Callithrix jacchus: one gene and its partner. The protein of the gene in region 1 purifies or fractionates together with the protein of each later gene. This does not show direct contact. Links are inferred from orthologs where the notes say so. Each region holds a gene or a part of one and is shown on either strand. Other genes may lie near its edges. The genes, in order: MARK1 and YWHAE.

Evidence for each region.
Region 2: the proteins of MARK1 (region 1) and YWHAE purify together in Homo sapiens (affinity purification with mass spectrometry; 3 studies listed by BioGRID and IntAct, with this or other methods). This does not show direct contact. The link is inferred for Callithrix jacchus from reciprocal best matches to the Homo sapiens genes MARK1 and YWHAE.

Annotation. Positions count from the first base shown.
Region 1 is NC_133520.1:8,038,351-8,044,184, reverse strand, and holds part of MARK1 (serine/threonine-protein kinase MARK1), read left to right. Parts: intron 1-2,354; coding exon 2,355-2,455; intron 2,456-3,714; coding exon 3,715-3,879; intron 3,880-4,961; coding exon 4,962-5,216; intron 5,217-5,834. UniProt on the Homo sapiens protein: Serine/threonine-protein kinase. Involved in cell polarity and microtubule dynamics regulation. Phosphorylates DCX, MAP2 and MAP4. Phosphorylates the microtubule-associated protein MAPT/TAU.
Region 2 is NC_133506.1:66,852,473-66,858,808, forward strand, and holds the start of YWHAE (14-3-3 protein epsilon), read left to right. Parts: upstream 1-2,084; 5' UTR 2,085-2,196; coding exon 2,197-2,260; intron 2,261-6,336. UniProt on the Homo sapiens protein: Adapter protein implicated in the regulation of a large spectrum of both general and specialized signaling pathways. Binds to a large number of partners, usually by recognition of a phosphoserine or phosphothreonine motif.

The DNA of each region.
Region 1 (5,834 bases):
CATAAAATATAATCACTTTACTGTGAAAGAATCTCCAAAAAGTTGTTTACATGATTGGTTTCCAGTTTGGGGAAGTTGCTAAACTAGAGTTCCAAAGTCGGCCTGGGTAGTTTCCACCTGGTTCCCAAATCCTCCGCAGAATGAACCTTACCTTCTTAGGGATCTCTGGAGCTTTTTTATTTGAACTAGGAAGGTCAGCTATAAAAGTTAGTTTTATATGTGAATGTATGACAAATGGAAGCAGTGACAGTTCGTTTCCCTAACTTTTGCATAATTCTGAATTTCCCTGGGGAAATACAACTGACGGTTGTTGCACCTGAATGTCACTGGCATTGAAGACTCAAAGCAAGGGAGGTAGGGTGGGAGGAGTACAAATTCAGAGACACAGCTTGGAAGGAGAGATATCATTCACCATCAGCCTTTGAAAAGGAAAGAAATGTCATTGAGAACAGCCAGAAACACTTTTAAAAGCTTCTAGATGGTGTATGGTAACATGATTTGACAAGGAATTAAGTTATTTATATGAAAATTTGGCCAAAATTGTGAGATTATCAAAAGCACGTATTTTTATATTGGTACATTTGGTGCTCATGGGGTGATTTTACAGCCTTTCAGGTTTGTCCTCTATTTTAAATTTCCAATTAATTTCTAGGGAATTAAATGTCCGTAGCTTCTAAGAGTAAGGTAGGAAATAATTTAAGTGTTCAAAAATTCGGAACTTATTGGTTAAAATAAAATATGGTATGTCTGTACAGTTGCATAGGCTACAGCTGTAACACTTTAGTATCACTTGATGTGGCTGGACGTTAATGACATGTTAAATGGGAAAGCAGGTAATGAAACAGTGTCTTCAAAACTATGAAATATGGATGACATTTCTAGCTTTTTTGAGAACTTTAGTATAAGTTAGTTTCATAATGCATCTCTCCATAATCAAATCCGTTTTCTTTGTCTTAGTAACATGGACCAAGTCTTTTTTTTTTTTTCTTTTTGAGACAGGGTCTCGCTCTGTTGCTCAGGCTGAAGTGCAGTGGTGCAATTACAGCTCACTGTATTCTCAACTTCTCTGGCTCAGGTGATCCTCCCACTTCAGCCTCCCTGGTAGCTGGGACTACAGATGTGTGCCATCACACCCAGCTAATTTTTTTTTTTGTACTTTTTGTGGAGACAGGGTTGCCCAGGCTGTTCGTGAACTCCTAGCCTCAAACAGTCTGCCCTCCTTGCCTCCCAAAATGTTGTGATTGAGCCACCACAATCGGCCTACATGTTCCAAGTCTTACTTAAGAATTTTAATAATCTTAGCCTCTTTGGTTCCATAGTTTATAGTTTTTAACATATGCTTTTATATAACTGATGACAAAATTCCTTCCATCTCGGAATCTGCATTACTGAAAAATTTTACATCTGTATTTATATAGTTTTGTTTATATGAGTTTTTTCCTTCTTCAAAGTGAATTCAAGCAAATATCTATTCACTTTTTAGCCCTCATGATTCAACAATGTTTAGGTTGATTATATATTTTAAATGCTGGATTAGCCAAAAGTAGCAAGTTTTTTTGTTTTGTTGGAGTAAGGATTAAACAGAAGAGTATTATATGCACACTGAAAATCATTTATGTATATTTTATTACCAGTGAGTAACTAGTCACGGATTTGACAGGCACAGCAATGGGTTTACAGGTCAGAGGTTGTGTGCATGGTAAGGAGAATGACTTATCTATCCCTTTTTGCTTATTTTCTCTCTTTTCTCCAAAGCTCCTCAGAAATGGCCTGCCTCCTAGCTCAAACCTGAGACTTGAGGAAATAAATATCTTCATTGTGGCACTGCACACAACACTGTTGGTGGCCTCAGCCAGACATGCCGTTGATCCCAGGGCATTTAGTCTGCTTAATATTCCCAGTGGTTGAGAGAGTTTCTCAAGCAGGTGAAGAAAGGCAGCCCACAGGCTTCTGAGTGGGCATGCCGTCTTCACTGCCCCAGGCTTCTGCTGGTGACGATACTTAGTGTAGAGTTGACTTGCACTCCTAGTTACTTAGAGCTGCTCACACCCCTGCTCCTGCCCTTTCTCCACCACCAGCTCACAAAGGAGGGAGAGAATAGAAACCCCACTCTCCTGTTGCTTTCAAACTGCTGGCATCTATTGGAGGATAAGCTAAAACTGATGAGTTCATTTTTGATGCTTTGTCTTTTACTTCTTAAAGCTAAATGAGAGGGAGGAAGGGGAAAATCTTGTTAATGTAAGATTTGGATCAATTAAAATTCTGTATTTTTCTCAAAATCTCCTTAAATACATTTCTTTGACTTTCCACAAATATATTTAGAATTTTTAAATTGCCTTTTTTTCTTCTTAAAGAACAATGTGTATTCTGGAGGTAGCATGGCAAGAAGGAATACTTATGTCTGTGAAAGGACCACAGATCGATATGCAGCATTGCAGAACGGAAAAGACAGCAGGTAAATGCCACAGTGCCAAGTAGTAATACCTTTGCTATTGTTCTTTGTTAGTGCTTTTGCTGAAATGCCTGCGGCTGAATGCGTCCAGGGAAAAGGAGTTACTATATGAAATAGTAAGATTGCAGCCAACCATTCTTACTAAGACATCTCTCCGGACCAGGATAGAAGGGTGGGAAAACATTTAGAGAAAACAGGAAATAATTCTCTTTACCTACCAATTTCTGAGTAAAATCTGATAGTAAATATTTTTCTGTAGCAAAGCAGATCATACCATCCTAATTTCATCTTCATAATTTAAATCTTACTCTTTTCTGCACCTGCTGCTTCCTGTCCTTTCACCTCCCATCAAGTCATTACTGTATTTGAATAATAAAGACTTTATCTTCCTCCCTCTGAAAAAATGTGGCCATCTTATTTCTCATCATTCAGAACCATATAATTTTTAAAGTGTTTCATTTCAAATTATAACCCATATTATTTTTATTATTTAAAAAATGTAACTTCTTTCTGTCATGAGTCAGAAGGACTGCTCAGCAATGTAGCACAAAGGCCTGGAGCCTGTTCTAGTGACATTCTTTCCTCAGATCCACCTTCCATCATTTCAGCAGTGTGTACAAAGCAGTCTCACCTGATAAGACTGTAAAGTAAGTGTTATTGTAAGGCAAGCAAAGAAAACTGTATCTATCTTCTTTGCAGATAAGATAATTGGAAATTGATTTCAGACTTACGATTTTTCCGGTACTAAATTTTAAGCTGCGGCTCCTTTTATCTGCCACTGTTAACCTATTGACTCATGATATGATCTAAAAGTGTGTTGATGTATCCAGAGATAATATTTTTGGTATAATTACCAATTCTGATTGTATCAATAATGGACAATGAACTACATCAACATATCACACCAAACTGTGATTTTGGGGAAGTAAAAAATGACTTAGTCATAATCATTTTGTCTGAAATTATTGTATCTCCACAAAAAGAATTTTATGCTTTCTCACATTTACATACATAGAGTAAGTGTGTGTGAGATTTTTTTCATGGATGATAGTGATACATTTACCCTGGATACTTTTCATAAGAATATTAATTTTTTGTCAGTCATTAATATTGCTGTTAATGTTAGTTTCTTTCAAATATTTCAGTCATGAGAAGTTATTCAGTTTAGATTTTTTAAAAATATAGTTCTTAAATTTTAGTAAACCACAATTTTTCTTCTTTTTTACATTTCCATGGTCTTCTCTACTGCTTTTTGACAAAAGCCTTACAGAGATGTCTGTGAGTAGCATATCTTCTGCAGGCTCTTCTGTGGCCTCTGCTGTCCCCTCAGCACGACCCCGCCACCAGAAGTCCATGTCTACTTCTGGTCATCCTATTAAAGTCACACTGCCAACCATTAAAGACGGCTCTGAAGCTTACCGGCCTGGGTAATGTGCTGGTTACATTTCATTTTGTTCACTGTTTAAAAATATATAGTACCTTGCATGTTCTGCTCATGTACCCCAAAACCTAAAATCAAATAAAAAATAAAAAAAAAATTCTAAATATACGCGATTACAAAAAAATAAAAAATAAAAAAATATAAAGTACCGTGTGAAAATACATGATAGTCACCATCACATTAAGTAAGACCTTTCTGACAAGATTCAGTGTTTGTAATAGAGGAAAAACTGAATTGTATCATAAATTTTCTGTGTGCTTTGGCTGTTATTGGAAATGTTGCATATAACTTGAGTCATTTTCTAGAGGAATTTTTTTAAGGATTTGGTTTTAAGTCCATCTATAAAGTTAAATATTGCTGCTTAATTTGTCACTTAGGTAAAGTGATTTTTTTATGATTTAAACATATCCAAACAAGCACTAAACTTGGAGTTGAGACCTTTGGGTAATGATCAGGCTCAGTTCCTTGTTCTTAAAAAAACAGGGCTTCAGTTTTCCTGTCAATGAAATTGATGAACTCAAGAGCCGATTCGGGTATAAAATTATATAACTGGTTTTCTAGTATTTTTCTATTTTAGGATTTCTCAAATTCAGTACTTCTGAATATTTTAACCCTCTGTTAGATTTGTTAAGCATATTGGTAGTGCCATGTGGTGGTGTACCATCACTGAAGCCTAAATTAGAAATGGGAAATTACTTTATTCAATGTCTTTTTAATAGACAATAAAATTTGTGTTCAGCATTGCTAAGTGGTTCAGGAGAATATTAAAAAAATATTTGCACTACCCCTGGTTTGGGATTCCTGATACTGAAGAGTATTCATCTTTGTGTCCCTGTTTCAGTCATTTCTTAATTTTTAGTCACCAGACAAAAGGTACCTAGTTTCAGTCTGAAATTTTATTCCTCTCCAACGATATAGTAAATAAAATTAACTCATGTCTCACAGCTGTAATGCGAACAAATAAAGTAGGGCCAAAAGAAGTAGCCATAGCCATTTGTTTCAAGTTTTTAGCATGAGTGAAAGGTTTTCTTGTCATTATTCTAAATGATATATCTTAATTTGTCCCAGCAGTACAACCCAGAGAGTGCCTGCTGCTTCCCCATCTGCTCACAGTATTAGTACTGCGACTCCAGACCGGACCCGCTTTCCCCGAGGGAGCTCAAGCCGAAGCACTTTCCATGGTGAACAGCTCCGGGAGCGACGCAGCGCTGCTTATAATGGGCCACCTGCTTCACCATCCCACGAAACGGGTGCATTTGCACATGCCAGAAGGGGAACGTCAACTGGTATAATAAGCAAAATCACATCCAAATTTGTTCGCAGGTCAGTACCAATGTACTATCGTGTTTTGTTTCCTCTAGAAATTACAAAGGGAATTACTTTTTTCTTAAATCTTTATAATAATTTTCCAAAGTGGTTTTATAACATTTCATTAGAGATGCTCTTTTACAGATTTGGAAGAAAAAAATTAGGAAGACATAAAGTCTTTTTCCTTAAGAGAAAGAAAAAAATGGACAAAATGAGATTTTAAAAATCTATAAAATAAAATGTAAAGAACAAAAATTTGACTTTAAAAATGTGTGTTTTAACAAAAGATTGTTTTATATTTAAAAGCCTTGATTGAGAAAAATAAATGAGTTTACATGTTTTCTTCAAACAATATTTATCTTGAAAATACTTTTAAATTGCTTGCTAATAATATATAATTTACATTTTGTTCTTCTTTGCATAAAAAGCCCACATACCAGAGTCATAGATCTATGTAATTTCACATCATAAAACCTTAACATCAGAACATAGGAAACACAAAATGAATACATGTAAAGTTCTAATCTGCTTAAGCAATGCAATTATACTTTCTAAAAAGTAAGCATGCTTACTATGCATACATGTACAGTGCACATTGATGATACGGGTTGCTGACTACAATGCAGGCTGATG
Region 2 (6,336 bases), on another chromosome or scaffold:
ACATAAAAATTAGCGGGGTATGGTGATGGGTGTCTATAATCCCAGCTACTCGGGAGGCTGAGGCAGGAGAATTGCTTGAACCCAGGAGGTGGAGGTTGCAGTGTGCCAAGTGCACTCCAGCCTGGGTGACAGAGCAAGACTCCATCTCGGAAAAAAAAAAAAATTGATTTAAACTTCTTACTATCCCAGGTCCTTCACAATTTGATTCTAACCTACCTTTTTTTTTTGTTGTCATTGTTGAGATGGAGTTTCCCTCTGTCACCCAGGCTGGAGTGCAATGGGGGAATCTTGGCTCACCACAACCTCTGCCTCCTGGGTTCAAGCGATTCTCCTGCTTCAGCCTCTCGAGTGGCTGAGATTACAGGTATATTATTGTTTTAAATAGAGACGGGATTTCTCTATGTTGGTCAGGCTGGTTTCAAACTCCTGACCTCAGGTGATCCACCTGCCTCACCCTCCCAAAGTGCTGGGATTACAGGTGTGAGCCACCACTCTGGGCCCTACCTTTTTCTTTCTTTCTGTTTTTGTTTTGTTTTGTTTCTTGAGTCAGGGTTTCACAGTTGCCCAGGCAGGGGTGCAGCTGCACTAACATGGCTCACTTTAGCCCGGACCTCCCAAGCTCAGGCAATCCTCCTACCGAAGTCTCTTGGGTAGCTGGGACCACAGGTGACATCACCATGGCTGGCTAATTAAAAACAAAGTTTTTTGTAGAGATGGCATCTCGCTATGTTGTCTAGGCTGGTCTCAAACTCCTGGGCTCAAGTGATTCTCCTGCCTCAGCCTCCCAAGGCCCAGGCACTGAAGCAATGTTCCCTGAGTTATTCCTGCCTCCTCAATCTTAAATTGATCTCAGTTCGACTATTCTATACTATGTACTCCACACCATCCTCTTCTAACAATTTCCCTGCTCCCATTCATGGCAGCCTCTGGGGAAAAAAGGTTAAACAGGAGAAGATAAAGATGAGTGTGAGGGCAAAGTGGAGGCGTGAAAACTGCAGCTCCCCTGTCCCTGCCAACTGTAATAGGGCCCAGTGTTGTTTTTTTTTTCAGATGGAGTTTTGCTCTTGTTGACCAGGCTGGAGTGCAATGGCGCCGTCTTGGCTCAACGCACCCTCCCCCTCCCGGTTTGAAATGATTCTGTTGCGTCAATCTCCGGAGTAGCTGGGATTACAGGCGCCCCCCACCGCGCCCGCCTCATATGTACATTGTTTAGTAGAGACGGGGTTTCGCCAAGTTGGCCAGAATGGTCTTGAACTCCCAACTTCAGTGATCCGCTGGCCTCGGCCTCCCAAACTGCTAGGATGGCAGGAGTGAGTCACCGCGCCGGGGCCAGGGCCCAGCTCTTTACCCTGAGGGTAAAAGTGTCTGCAAAAGGCCCACGACCAGGCTTGGCGGAGAAAACCAGGACGCTGGCTGGGCTCGGTGGCTCACGCCTGTTATCCCAGCATTTTGGGAGGCCGAGGCGGGCGGATCACCTGAGGTCAGGAGTTCGAGACCAGACTGGCCAAGATGAAGAAACCCCCTTCGCTACGAAAAGTACAAAAATCAGTCGGGCGTGGAGCCGCATGCCTGTAATCCCAGCTGCTCGCGAGGCTGAGGCGGGAGAATCTCTTGAACCCGGGAGGCGGAGGTTGCAGGGAGCCGAGATCGCGCCATCGCACTCCAGCCTGGACGATAGGGTGAAATTCCATCTCAAAAAAATAGAAAAAGAAAAAGGAAAAAGAAAACCAGGGCGCGGTAGAAACAGCGCTGATTTCAGGCAGGAAGACCTGCTATGATGACAGAAACCGTCCCAGCCTCCGTGGTGGTTTTCCGCAGGCCGGACGTCGGCCGTCAGTCTGGCCCAGGTCTCGCGCCCGCGGTTTTCAGGAGCAGCCCGGGCCGGCCTGGCCACCGCCGTCGTGTTCCCCGGGGGCCGCTCCCTCGCGGCAGTCGCAGTTCCCGCCTCTAGGCCCCGGCGCCCGCTGAGCGGACGGAGGAGGGGCGTCTCCGGCGCAGGTTCCAGGACCCGCCCCCCGCGCCAGTTGCCAGGGAGCGGTTGCCATAGAGCTGAGCAGTTGTCCGCGTGCGCAGGCGGAAGTCCCGGATTGAGGCGCCGCCATTTTTGCTGCCCGGACGCGGAGCGAAAGGCTGAGAGAGTCGTAGACACTATCCGTTTCCATCCGTCGCGCAGACCCTGCCGGAGCCGCTGCCGCTATGGATGATCGGGAGGATCTGGTGTACCAGGCGAAGCTGGCCGAGCAGGCTGAGCGATACGACGGTGAGTTGTGGGGGCAACGGGGGGCTGGAATTCTTGGACCCTCTGCCGCCGCCCACAGAGGCCGGGAACGGGAGACAAAATGGCGGCATCGTCCGCGAGCGTGGCCCGGGGACTTGGGTTCGGGGAGCGGAACCTGGCTTGGGAACTCCCGGAGCGACGGGAGGCCGTGTGCCCCGGAATGTGACCCCTTCGCTGTCCTCAGCTACACATACCTCGCGGGCCGAGAGGCCGGGGTGGAGGAGTTGGTTGTAAAATGGCGGCTGGGGGGAGGGCGAATCCCGGGGCGGGGGAGGGGGAGGAGATGGCGGGCGCTGCCGCGGAACCGGCCACCCCCAGGGAAGCTTCCGGGACGGCCTTGGGAGGTGGAGAACGATTGGGTAGGGTGACGGGGGAAGCAGCACCCTCCACACGGGAGAGCGCCAAGACCGGGAGCTGTAGCGCGGGCGCCTTTCAGGGAAATATGGCGGGTGGGGGCGGTGGCTTCTCCCCGGAGGCTTCGTGTGGGGCGGCGGCCGTGGAGTCTCACAAAGGAGAGCCTGGAACGCGATGCGCTTCCTCGGGCCTGGGTCGGGAGGCCGCCCTGGGTGACAGCGGGGAGCGGGCGAGCGAGCATCGCTGCTCTGGGTCCTGGGCGGTGGCGGGCTGCGGGGCCGCGGTCGGGTTTGTTTTGCGTCCGCCGGCGCCGCGGAGTGAGGGGTTTCGGGCTTTTCCCCCCTCGCCGCCTTCCGGGGAGGTCCAGAAGATCCGGGCTCCCGCCCCTTTTCCGCGCTCTAAATGGTGAAGCTCGAAGTTCCTGTAACCTTTCTCTGGCTCCGTCAGCAGCGGGTTCTGATGGATGGAACCAGGAGACCAGGGGGCTGCGCGACTCTGGGTTCGAGCCTTCGTCCTCGCGTTTGGGAAAACGATGACTTTACAGTTTGTCCGCACCCTCATGACACATGGGAAAAAAAAGACCTGTTGAAATAAAGTTGTTTCCAGTAGCGTTTAGTAACTGTATTTTGGTTGACTCTGCAGGCTCGAAATGCGGGTTTGTACTTCGTGGGGGACCTTTGCCTCTTCCAGGCACTCGGCTGGGCCTGGGGTCTTTGAGTTATGAAGGTTGGAGGTCCTATTCTTTTTTTTTATTATTATTTTTTATTTTAAATAAGTGGGTTTATGTAGGACTTTGAGTAGTTCCTCTTTGCTCATTGTCCCTTTGCCCTTAATTGGTTCTTCAGTCCTCTTTCAGAACTTGATCGAAATATCCATTGTGTCTGCCAGGAAGTTTCTTCTTCATCCTCCCCCCCATCCACCTTTTTTGACCTGTAGACTTGAATTTCCCTCACATTTAGAATTTTTCGATACTGTGGTATTACCGAAACCAGAAGTCCTGTATGCGGCTGCTGTGGTTTTCATGCTTTTGCATGGTACGGTGGGGTGAGACATGGTTGGAATCTAGTGTCCTTGATGTGAGATTTTTCCTGGTTAAGCTACCTATATTTCAAAATGTTTCAGAGGGCCATTGCTTTCCTGGAAATGCCGATTTGGTCATGTGAATAACCTCAGGGCTGGTTCCCATTATCAGAAATGAGGATTCAGGGATTTGAAAATAAGACAAGTCCTCTAGAGCTCAAATATACGAAATATGCTGAACTAAATTTCGTCTTGTAAATTCTTTGTTATTTGTATTGAACAAAGTTGCTGTTGGGGGAGGGAAGGGATAAAATGGGGAAGTACAGCTCAAGGTCAGCTCTCTTTATTTCAGTGTTGAAAAATCAAACAAATAGGTGTGCTTATATTGGAAGACTCCCCTCCGCCCTCATCTCCAGATGTTCCCCTCTTCATCTATTAGTGTTCTCCGTAGGAAACAAATGATACTTGAATGCTTTCTGTTTTGTGGGGATTGGGGCTATTTAATTAAACTGGCTGTGGTAACTAGAAAGAATGTGAGTTTTTTTTTTTTAAACCGATTGGAAAGCTTATGATTGTAGTTTCCAAATAAATTACAGGTTATTGTAGTTATATTTTGGCGTGAGGATTTCTGACCAGAACCTTTATTGGGTTTTGAACGTAGGATTCTTTGATACGGCCACAATATTGCAGTTATTAATGTTAGGTGTCCCTTTCAGCATCTAAAGCGGTAGGAAAATAGATCTCCAAGGTGAGGAGCTCTTCCTGTGACTTGGGCATAAGGTAAGGACTCAGTAGAAAGGGGAGGGGAGACAGACACCAGGAATCGGCCTCTGTCTTTGTCCATTCCTTTATTTAGGGCAATATTTTTTTGTTTGTGGTGACAAAAAGTTTTTCCCTTAGTTCTAGTCACCAAATGGAATTGATCAAGTGTGGGGAGGGGGTGGGACTGGTGGAAGAAGCTAAGAGTATTGGCAGGATTTCTTTTTTGGGTGCTTGTATGCAAGTGCTGGTTTTCCAGCTGTCCTTCGCTCTTATCTCCCTGTACTGCAGTAGGTTTATTTTGTTTTGCTTGCTGTGTTAAACGAGTGCCTAAACTTCTTTGTAGCCTCATTTAATTCTGTCCTGGGGCATTGGAATCAATTTATATGGATTATTTAATGGTACGGGAGGAAGAGTTAAGTTGTGTTCAGGAAAAGGACAATTTTGGGTCACAGGAAATACTGAAGTTTGGGGCTAGGAGTTGAAGATTACATCTAGCATCTCATTACTTTAACAAGCTAGTGGTCTAAGGAATAGTTTTTACATCGTTTAAAACCATGTTAAGCAAGTCCATCATTTAACATTTCTCAAGTAAGTCTTACCGTCCCATATACAAATTGGTACAAAAACGTGGGGAATAGGCTGGGTGCGGTGGCTCAGGCCTGTCATCCCAGGACTTTGGGAGGCCAAGGTGGGTGGGTCACCTGAGGTCAGGAGTTCAAGACCAGTCTGGCCAATGTGGTGAAACCCTGTCTCTACAAAAATAAAATTAGCTGCGCATAGCCACCCAGGAGGCTGAGGTAGGAGAATTGCTTCAACCCTGGAGGTAGAGGTTGCAGTGAGCCGAGATTGTGCCATTGCCCTCCAGACTGGGCAACGACAGAGCGACACTGGGGAGGGGGGGAAGGTGGACAATATAGAGGGGAAAAATGAATAGTTTCCCCATTTTGGGGAGCAGAGGGGCAACATAAACTGCATTTGGGCTTGTGCAGCAGCTGTTGATTTTGTCCTTTCCTCATCTTCTCCCTGTCAAGATTGGCTGCATGGGAGGTAGGATGAAGTTTGACGGTCATTTTTGATTCACTAGGAATGCATCTGTTGAGTCACTTGAGAGCTGTCCTGTGAAAACACCAGAACCTCACCTCCAGCTAGCTTATTCTGCTAGTTAGTGAAGAATGGAGAGGGAGCATGTGTGGAATGAACTTTTTACTACAGTCCTGTTAGGGAAAATATGGGTAGTAGTAAATTAACTTTGTTAATAAATTTAGAAGCATTTAGATTAACTACTAATTATTTGACTATAGGCCAGCAATTTTCCATTGCCATTTCAGTTAATGGACTAACTTTTGGAGAAAAGATTTTCTCCTACCTAAATACATAGACAGAACTGGGCAATGTAGTGTTAAAAATTCCTTCCACGGCTCACGCCTGTAATCCTAACACTTTGGGAGGCTGAGACAGGTGGATCATGAGAGCAGGAGATCGAGACCATCCTGGCTAACACAGTTGAAACCATGTCTCTACTGAAAATACAAAAATATTGCTAGTCCCGCTACTCGGGAGGCTGAGGCAGTACAATCCCTTGAACCTGGGAATCAGAGGATGCAGTGAGCTGAGATTATGCCACTGCACTCCAGCCTAAGTGCCAGAGTTGAGACTCCGTCTCCCCCCCAAAAAAAATCCCTTCTGCAAGTAGCCTGTATATTTAAAGCAGATGCTCTTTCATGTATTCTTTAGGCTTTTGTATAGTATAAGTATTTGGCATATTTCATTCTATTTAGTTGTCTTTCACAAATTTGGGATATAATGAAATCAAGAATCACTGCAATTTGCAGTGAAGGGTAAATTCTTTTTTTTTTTTTTTTAATTAAAGACGGGGTTTCACCATGTTGGTCAGGCTGGTCTTGAACTCCCAACCTGAGGTG